Coturnix japonica: one gene and its partner. The protein of the gene in region 2 interacts with the protein of the main gene of each other region in a pairwise test. Links are inferred from orthologs where the notes say so. Each region holds a gene or a part of one and is shown on either strand. Other genes may lie near its edges. The genes, in order: EIF5A2 and DHPS.

Region 1 (4,317 bases), on a different chromosome or scaffold from region 2:
AGTTTCTTGGTCTAAAATTTGTGATTGGTACCTACAGTTCTGCAAGAGTCCAATCCACAAAATTGTTAAGCTTTAAAAAAAATATAATCAACAAAACAAAGAAAGCTACTTTTATTGTCAGTTCTATCTAAACATGTCAAGAAAAATACTATTTGTGCTCTAGGTCACTTTATAATCCTAGATACCTACTAGCTTATCTAAAAGCCCCTGAATACTGTATTTTGTCTGTTCATACAGACAAACACTGTTTTGCTCAAGCAAATAAAAAATATATCCACTAGTAACACCTGAACGGTTTCTTAGATCCAGAGCTGAAACCCACAGGAATGTTAAAATAGTTACAATTAAGGAATTAAAATCTCAGTGATTTTGAAAACTGCCAGTTAGCCTGCAACACTAATCCAGAATCCAGCACTGCTTTGTAACAATTCAAAAAAGAAATGAGGTTGCTTGTGAAGGCCAGAGCTTTGGTGACAATCAGAACCAAATTTAAAGATCTGTGGTTTATCCAGACCTGAGCAGTTGCCCGTGCCTGGCGATCCTCTTTATTTGCAAGGCTTTATGGCTACAGCACATTCTTCATTCATTGCACTTATGACGGATATCTGAAAGAAAAGACACACAGGTTAATTCCAACCCTCCACAGCAGAATTGCTCCTAGAAGATACAGGCGATCACACCCGACGGTGCAAGATTGTGGCATCTCAAGATTTGTTTTCAGCTTTAAGGTGTTTATACAGCACAGATTACATCGCAAGGCTCCACACAAGAAAGAGTGGAAGCTCCAATCTACACCAAGCAAACAGCACTGCTAGGATCTATCTTGATATCTGAGACTCAGATCACTGTCAGCAGAGCTGGGCTTCAGTGCCACACTGTGTGCCCCTACACAGATGTCCTAATTGCCAAGGAACCAATTCCCAGGTTTTTAACTCTTTCTTCATATAACAAATAACTACATAATGGAGAACACGTATTCTTATGTCAGGCAAGGCCAATTAAACATCTCTCTTCTTGCCTGCCTAACTCTATTCTTACCTGCACATCTTCATTGGCATTGAATTTTCCTTCGATTTCTTTTCCCAGGTCACCTTCTGGCAGCTTTAGATCCTCACGAACTTCACCACTTTCTGTCAGCAGGGAGAGATACCCATCCTGAATCCCTATCAGCTGCAAAGAGAAGGTCATTATTAGGATGTTTAACACGAGCAGCAAGATGAGCAGAAGGCACAGACAGCTGTTACACTAATTCTTTAGTACCGTGTTTCTAATAGTTAAGAACCTAATTTGCCCTGTGAGGTTGATGGCACAGTAAGCAGGAGATTTCTATCCAGACAATTCTTGACAACTTGAACTGTTGAGTAAATGCTCCTGGTTCAGCAGTGCCACATCTGGACAGACAAGTTTGCCAAACTCTGAAGGCAGCAGTACTGTATTAACTGACAAGCAGTCTTGTGGTGAAAAACACTTTACTTGAAGTGTTAGGAGTTGTAGATTTATGGAAATGTGGGAGGATAACATTAACTCACCTGGTAATCATTCCTCTTTATATTTGGGACATCCATGTTATGAGTTGATGGGCAAATATCTTCGTATTTTTTCCCATTGAAGATATCGATACCAACCAGGTGGACCTACAAAGAAAAAGAAAGAAGATCAGTTCCTGTTCATCCTACAGGAGCCAAACAGCACTGAAATCAGCGCTGCTGGTCCCATATGGGGCTTCTTGTCTTTTAAAAGCTAACATGTGAGATGAGATTGTCCTCAAATCCTTTGCATGCTGTGTGAGAGGCCCCTCAGGTGTCCTTCCATATTTCAGATCATCCACTAAAGGAAACGAGTGAAGGCCACAGTCCTCACCTCTAATCATTTTACAACACAAGGTAAAGCTCAATGCTCTCAACTTCTGTTTTGTGACTGTTAAAAGAACATTTATTTCACGTTCCAGCTGTTGTGTGAAACAACAGGATGGTCAAGGAGAACAGAAACGACCACGTGCTGAGATGAGAGCAGCTCCCACCTCCCAATGCTTGCAGCAGCTGCTCAGAGCACATGGATTAGCAATTTACAGCCCACCCTACTCAGCTCTCTTCACTCTCACAACCGGTTCAGTATTTAGCAGTACTATGTAAGACTGGGGGGGGGGGGAAAAAAGGGATTTGCCATGAAGTGCAATGAGAAGGACAGAAAAAAAAACCACCCAGCAGAGTCTTGGCAGCCTCCAGCTTGACCAAACGCTAAATACTTCCCGCGTATCACATGAGGCTGTGGAAACTTAAGATAGCAAACGAGCCCGTGTTTGTAGATCCGCCTCACCATACGAGCTTAGTGGAGCCCAGCCCGGACAGCTGCGGAGCCAACTGCTGGGGCAGCACCAGTCGCGGCCCGGGGAGCGTGGCTGGGGCGGCCAGCGCGGTGCAACCACGCCCTGGGGATTTCATCAGCCCCTTCCAGAACTTACCCAGCCCATCGCTCATCGTTTTATCACCGCCGCCCCGCGATCCCGCCGACCATCCGATGCAATGAGAAGCCCCCGGCCCTGCCCGGCCCAACCCCCCGGCCCCGCTGGTGTCGCAGTACACGCGGTGCCGCCGCTCACCTTGGCGTGGCCGTGCTTTCCCGTCTTGGAGGTGGACATCTCGACGATCTTACATGGGCGGCCCTTCAGTACCACGAAGCCGTTCTTGCGCAGCGCCGAGCACTGCATGGGGTACGTGGACGAGGCGCCGGCGTCGCCCGTCGTGAAGTCCAACTCGTCGGCCATGGCGGCGGCTGCGGGGCTGAACGCACCGAGTCGGTCCGAGCGCGTGTCCCCCCTCCCGGCTCCCACCCCCCACCACCCCGATACCGGAGCGCCGCGCACCGCCCGCCACGTGCCCGCCCTCGGGGCCCTCAGCGCCGCGGCCCAACCGGCCCTTAGAGCCGTTAGAGCCGGGCACGGAGCGGCCGGGAGCCGGGTAAGGGAAAGGGGAGCGTTGGTTCGGCCGCTCTTACCTGCGGAGCGCGGCGGGGCGGCCGGGAGGGCGGGCGGGGGCACACGGCGCCGCGCACACGCGCCCGACCACTGCGGAGCGCGGCGGGAAGGGGCGGCGGGCGGCGGGCAGAGAGAGCACCACGCCCCGAAACACGCCCAACAACTTCCGCTCCGTTCATGAGCGACCATTGGGCCGGCACACAGCGCACCGCACCGCCCCGCGGCACTGAGACCGACACGTGCGGGGAGGTACGGAGTGCGGAGTGGGACAAATGGAGACGGGAGAGGAGCGAGGACGCAGGGGGGAGACATGGGTGTATCGCACCGACAGGACTGAAGGGGGCGCTGCGAACACGGAGCACACATGCATATATATATACATACACACATACATACATACATACATACATACACACATACATACATACACACACATACATACATACACACATACGTACATACATACATACACACATACATACATACACACACACATACATACATACACACATACATACACACATACATACATACACATATACATACATGCATACATACATACACATATACATACATACATACATACATACACACATACATACATACATACACACACATACATACATACACACACACATACATACATACACACATACATACATATACATACATACACACACACACACATACATACATACACACACATACATACATACACACATACATACACACATACATACATGCATACACACATACATACATACATACACGCACACACATACATACACACACATACAGACATACACACATACATACATGCATACACACTTACATACATACATACATACACACATACATACACGCACACTTACATACATACACACAGACACACACCTACCTACCTACCTATATACATACAAACACACATACACACACACACATACATATATACATACATACAGCACCAGCAGTTTGGTTTCAAGGCGTGTTTGTAACCATCGGGGTCTCACTTTACATGTATTTGTTTTGGTACGTGTGCTCAGAGCACTGCACACACCTGGACTGTGTCTCTTCTTCTGAGTATGCTCAGTGCGTTATTGATCTTCATCTCTCTAAGTGTTCATATCAGTCACAGCAGAAATGAGCAGTGGGCAGAAATGAGCTTTGGAAGGTCACAAATAGCAAAGAACGGGCACAACTCATTCATATCATGAAGAAGTGCCTGGTGCCCTGAAGCACTGCATTAAAGCCCAGCCTCAGCCATGTATATCGCAGCCAGCCCTGGGGCAAACACACAGCCTTGTTACCGGCAAACTCAACACAGCACAGGACAATGCTGGGCT
Region 2 (4,525 bases):
GGGCATGTTTCCCCTCACACACACACACACACACAAACAGCTCAGTCCTCATCTGTGGGCACTGGGAAGTCAGCTGCTCTCTGTGCAAACGTCTCCGCCACCAGCAGCGGAAAAACCAGCGAAGCATCAGCATAGACCTGCAGGAGAGGGAGAGGGAGACCCTCGCGTCCCCCCCAGCACCCCCCAAACCCCCTCCCTGTGCCCTCACCTTCACTGGCGTGGCGTCCATTCGGATCTTCCCCCACGAAACAGCCTCATCCGGCTGCGCCCCAGAGTCAGACCCATCAAACTCCTGAGCTGTGTTCACATAGACGGAGAAATCGGCACCGTTCCTCTGCAAGGAGAGGGAGCACAATGAGGGCACTGTCCCCAGTTGCCAGCCCCCCTAATCCCCCTCCCCACAGCCCCCCCCTCACCATCAGGTTGGCGTTGGCGATGTGGTGTTTTACCAGTCCCCCCCCCAGGATGATCATCCCTGTCTTGCGGGCAAAGATGGCCCTCGTGTTGATGAGCCTTAGGTCTGTGGGGGGGTACAGCTGTCACCAGGAGGGGTCCTGCTGTCATCCCCCCCCCCACCATGGGGAAAAAACTCACCTTCCACGATGTCCAGCACCAACCCCGGGTGTTTGTAGGAGTGGAAGAAGATCATATCCCCCAAAGAGCCGTCAGTGAGCGCTGGGCTCAGCACCGGGATGTTGTTCTGGGGGAGGATGTGGTGACAACAGGGGAGCACGGGGACCCCCATGGGAGTGTGGGGACCCCCCCCCCAGGATAGACGCTGGCAGAGATGCCCCCATACCTTCTGAGCCCAGTAACACACTGACTCGGGGTTGTTGATTTCCTTCCCCAAACGTGCGATCATCCGTGATGGCGTCCACCTCACGCCCTGTGGGACCCACAGGTGACCCCACATCCACCCCCCAGTGACCCCACGTTCCCCCCCACACCTCCCAGCTCCACCTCTGTCTCCTGCTCCTCCACCATCTGATCCAAGATGGGCATCAGCCAATCCTCAAACTTGCAGTAGTTATCATTGGGCACCAGCAGGTTTCCAATCCTGGGGGGAGGGTTGTGCTCAGACATCTTCATACCCCCCCATACATCCCCCCCCCGGTTTCCTCTCCCCCCGGGTGTCCCCACACCGGTTGATGCCGTTCTGCCGCAGCTCCCGGCCCCGCAGACTGAAGTCCCCCACGTAGGTGGGTGCCAGGCATTTAATGAGGTCCTCCTCCACACCGCCCGCTGTTGTCACCACCACATCCACCTGCCCAGAGGGGGGCAAGAGTGGGGGGGGGGCTCAGGGAGCCCTCAGGGCCAGCGCTGAAGACCCCCTCCCCCAAGGTACTGAGACCAGTGCGGCCCCAAAGCACTGGGGGCAGCATAGAGACCCCTGGGGACACGTCAGGGACCCCTAGAACCCCTGGGGACACTGGGACACCACAGGGACCCCAGGACCCCCCACCCACATCAGAGGGGAACCCCCAGGCTCCAACCCCCTCCCCCAAAACCACACCCACAGCCTCCCCGCAGTCCCCCCGTACCATCACACACTGCCCCAAGGTGCCCCAGGACCCCGTTACCACCCCCGAGGGTTGGGGAGGGGGCTCAACAATGTGAGGAACCCCCCACAACTCTCTACCCCATCTCTGTACCCCAGGACCCCTCTGTGAGCTCCCCCAGGACCCCAGCAATTGACTGGGGGGGTGGCTAACAAACTGAGGACCCCCCCCCATATCACCCTGTATCCCCGTTACCCCCCGTTACCCCCCGTTACCCCCGTTACCCCCGTTGCCCCCGTACCATGCGGTGCTGCACGAGGAAGCGGATGCTCTCCCGCACCCCGGAGCTGATGAGGTTGGAGGTGAAGCCCAGGAAGATGGTGCAGCCCGAAGCCGCCCCCGCGGCGCCCCCCAGCTCAGCCCGGCTGCGCTCAGCAGCGCTCAGCGGCTCCATCTTGGCAGCGATCTACGGGACGGAACCGGGTAAGGGGGGGGGAAACGGAACCGGTAAAGGGGGGTAATGGAACCGGTAAGGGGGGGTAATGGATCCGCGGTAAGGGGGGGTAAAAAAATTTTGGGGAAAAATTCCGGTAAGGGGGGGAAAACGGAACCGGTAAGAGGGGGGATTAATGCGATCCGGTAGGGGGTAGGGAAACGGAAACCGGTACAGAGGCAGGGATAATGATTCAGTTAAGGGGGCGGGAAAACGGAACCGGTGAAGAGGGGGACTATGGGAACGGTAAGGGGGGTAATGGAACGTATTACGGGAGATAATAGACCCGATAAGGGCGCGGGAAATGCGAACCGTAAGGGGGGATAATGGATCAGGTAAGGAGGTAATGGATCCAGCGTAAGGGGGGGTGATATGGAACCGGTAAGGGGCCGATAATGGACGGTAAGGGGGGAGATAATGGAATCCGGGTAGGGGATAATGGAACCGTAAGGGGGAAACGGAACCGGTAAGGGGGGAGATAATGGATCCGGTAAAGGCGGGGGGAAACGGAACCGGTAAGGGGGTGGTAATGGAACCGGTAAGGGGGGATAATGGAACCGGTAAGGGGGGGACGGATCCGGTAAGGGGGGGGGGTGCCGGTGCCGCCCCCCCGCACCATGCGGCGGATCTCGGCGACGGCGCGCGCGAAGTTCGTGGCCTGGAACCCGGTGGTGAGAAACGAGCGCAGCACCGCGCCCGGGTCGGGGCCGTCCGCGAAGTCGTATCCGCGAACCGGGAGCGTCTGAGCGGGGAGCGGGGCGCTGCGCTTCAGCACCGCGTGCAGGGCGGCGGCCGGGGCTTCCCCCGACGGCGGCTCCTCCGCGGGGCCGCTGAGCTCCGTGGGCCCCATGGGCGCCGCCATCTTGGGCCGCCCCCCTGCGCCTGCGCGGTGGAGGCGCAGTACGTCGGAGCGCCGCCATCTTGAAGAGGAAACGGTGGCCGCAGTGGGTCAAAAGGCGCCAGAAAGCGAAGCGTCAAACGGTGGAGAGCTCTGTCGAAAACCCAAACCCTGAACCTCTTAAACCCCAAATCCCGCCGTAATCTGCCTCTAAATCCCAATCCCCGAATCTAGGCCCACTCCTAACCCCCACAATTCCAAACCCTGACCCCAAACCCCCCCATCCTGACCCCAAACCCCCCCATCCTGACCCCAAACCCCCCCACATCCTGACCCCAAACCCCCCCACATCCTGACCCCACTCTGCCCCACAAAGACACACCACAGCCACACACCTCCAGCCAAATCCCTTTAATTCCTGCACAACGGGCCCCTCTGAGTCCATTGGGACCCCTCTGCCCCCCAGGGGGTCCCCATCTCTGGCCATGGGAAGGGGGGAGGAGGGTTGAGGGGCAAAGCCCCCATTCCTGGGGGGGGTCACAGCCACATTCAGCCTCCAAACTTCCAGACCTCCACCGAGAGCCCCCCGGAGGCAGCTGCCACCACGTCGCCCTCGACGCTGATCTGGGGGAAATGGTGGAGATCAGGAGAGGGTGGGAACAACGGGGCGTCCAGGAGGGAAAATGTGACCCCAGCCCTTACCCCATTGAGAACATCATCGTGCGTCCAGGAGCAGATGGTGCGGGGGGGGTCCGTGGGGACGTGGATCTGTAACAGAGAGACGCCATTTCTTCCTCCCCCCATTAAGATATTATGGGAATTGGGGGGGAGGCACCTCGCCAGCCTCACACAACCCAACCCCTCAATCCCAGTGTGGGGTGGGGGGGTCGCCACGTGAGGTTGGGGTCCCTCACCCGCATGGTGCGGTCGGTGGAGGTGGTGTACAAAGATCCTGCATTCTGCCACAGCCCCGTGATCTGCAGGCGGTGTCCCACGTCGAAGCGCTGCAATGGGGGCATTGAGGGGAGGGGTACGGCCCCAAAGACCCCCCTCCCAGCCCTATATGTGGCTTTATACCCGCTCCGCTCGGAAGTGGCCGTCGCTGTTCCCGAAGACGTGGACCCGGCCCTGGTTGTCCCCAGCCCAGAGTTGCGTCCCCCGATATGACATGGAGAGGAGGTAATGCTGCAGCTGTGGGGCAAAACACGGGCTTATGGGGCAAGCGGTGCTGCAACATTGTGGGGAGAAAGTGGGATGGGGAACAGTGCTGCACCCCAAACCCCAAATCCAGCCTTCAAACATTGATTATCAGCCCCCAAGGCGTGAATAATGTGAGGCGGATGGAGCCCCCAGCCCCACACTTGGGGGTCAGCCCCACCTGCAGGCGCTGCAGGATGCCGTCAGCACGGCGGTCGATGACCACCAGGGTTCGGTCTTCACTCCCAGATACGATGAGACGGTCATCGGCTGCCAGCGCCAACACTGCGCTGCTGTGGGGTTTGTAGGATCGCACCGGGGTCTGGGGGGCTGCTGTGGGGGGGTGGGGTGGTGAGAGCTGTGCCCTCCAAGTGCTGCCACCCCGTATGTGTGGGGCTGGACTTACCTCGTGGGTCATATGCAGCCACTGTTTTGTCGTAGGTTCCTGTGATGATGGCATCAGGGCAGAAGGAGAGGCACAGCACCGCCGCCCTCTCC

What was found.
Region 1: the proteins of DHPS (region 2) and EIF5A2 interact in binary tests that used the Homo sapiens proteins (3 or more experiments, as listed by UniProt). The two-hybrid records come from large-scale screens. The link is inferred for Coturnix japonica from reciprocal best matches to the Homo sapiens genes DHPS and EIF5A2.

Annotation. Positions count from the first base shown.
Region 1 is NC_029524.1:17,439,258-17,443,574, reverse strand, and holds the start of EIF5A2 (eukaryotic translation initiation factor 5A-2), read right to left. Parts: upstream 3,096-4,317; 5' UTR 2,995-3,095; intron 2,781-2,994; 5' UTR 2,765-2,780; coding exon 2,600-2,764; intron 1,635-2,599; coding exon 1,530-1,634; intron 1,171-1,529; coding exon 1,039-1,170; intron 606-1,038; coding exon 546-605; 3' UTR 1-545. UniProt on the Homo sapiens protein: Translation factor that promotes translation elongation and termination, particularly upon ribosome stalling at specific amino acid sequence contexts.
Region 2 is NW_015439889.1:91,702-96,226, reverse strand, and holds the start of DHPS (deoxyhypusine synthase), read right to left. Parts: upstream 2,891-4,525; 5' UTR 2,855-2,890; coding exon 2,609-2,854; intron 1,966-2,608; coding exon 1,801-1,965; intron 1,265-1,800; coding exon 1,143-1,264; intron 1,058-1,142; coding exon 961-1,057; intron 887-960; coding exon 800-886; intron 701-799; coding exon 595-700; intron 521-594; coding exon 417-520; intron 335-416; coding exon 209-334; intron 138-208; coding exon 42-137; 3' UTR 1-41. UniProt on the Homo sapiens protein: Catalyzes the NAD-dependent oxidative cleavage of spermidine and the subsequent transfer of the butylamine moiety of spermidine to the epsilon-amino group of a critical lysine residue of the eIF-5A precursor protein to form the intermediate deoxyhypusine residue.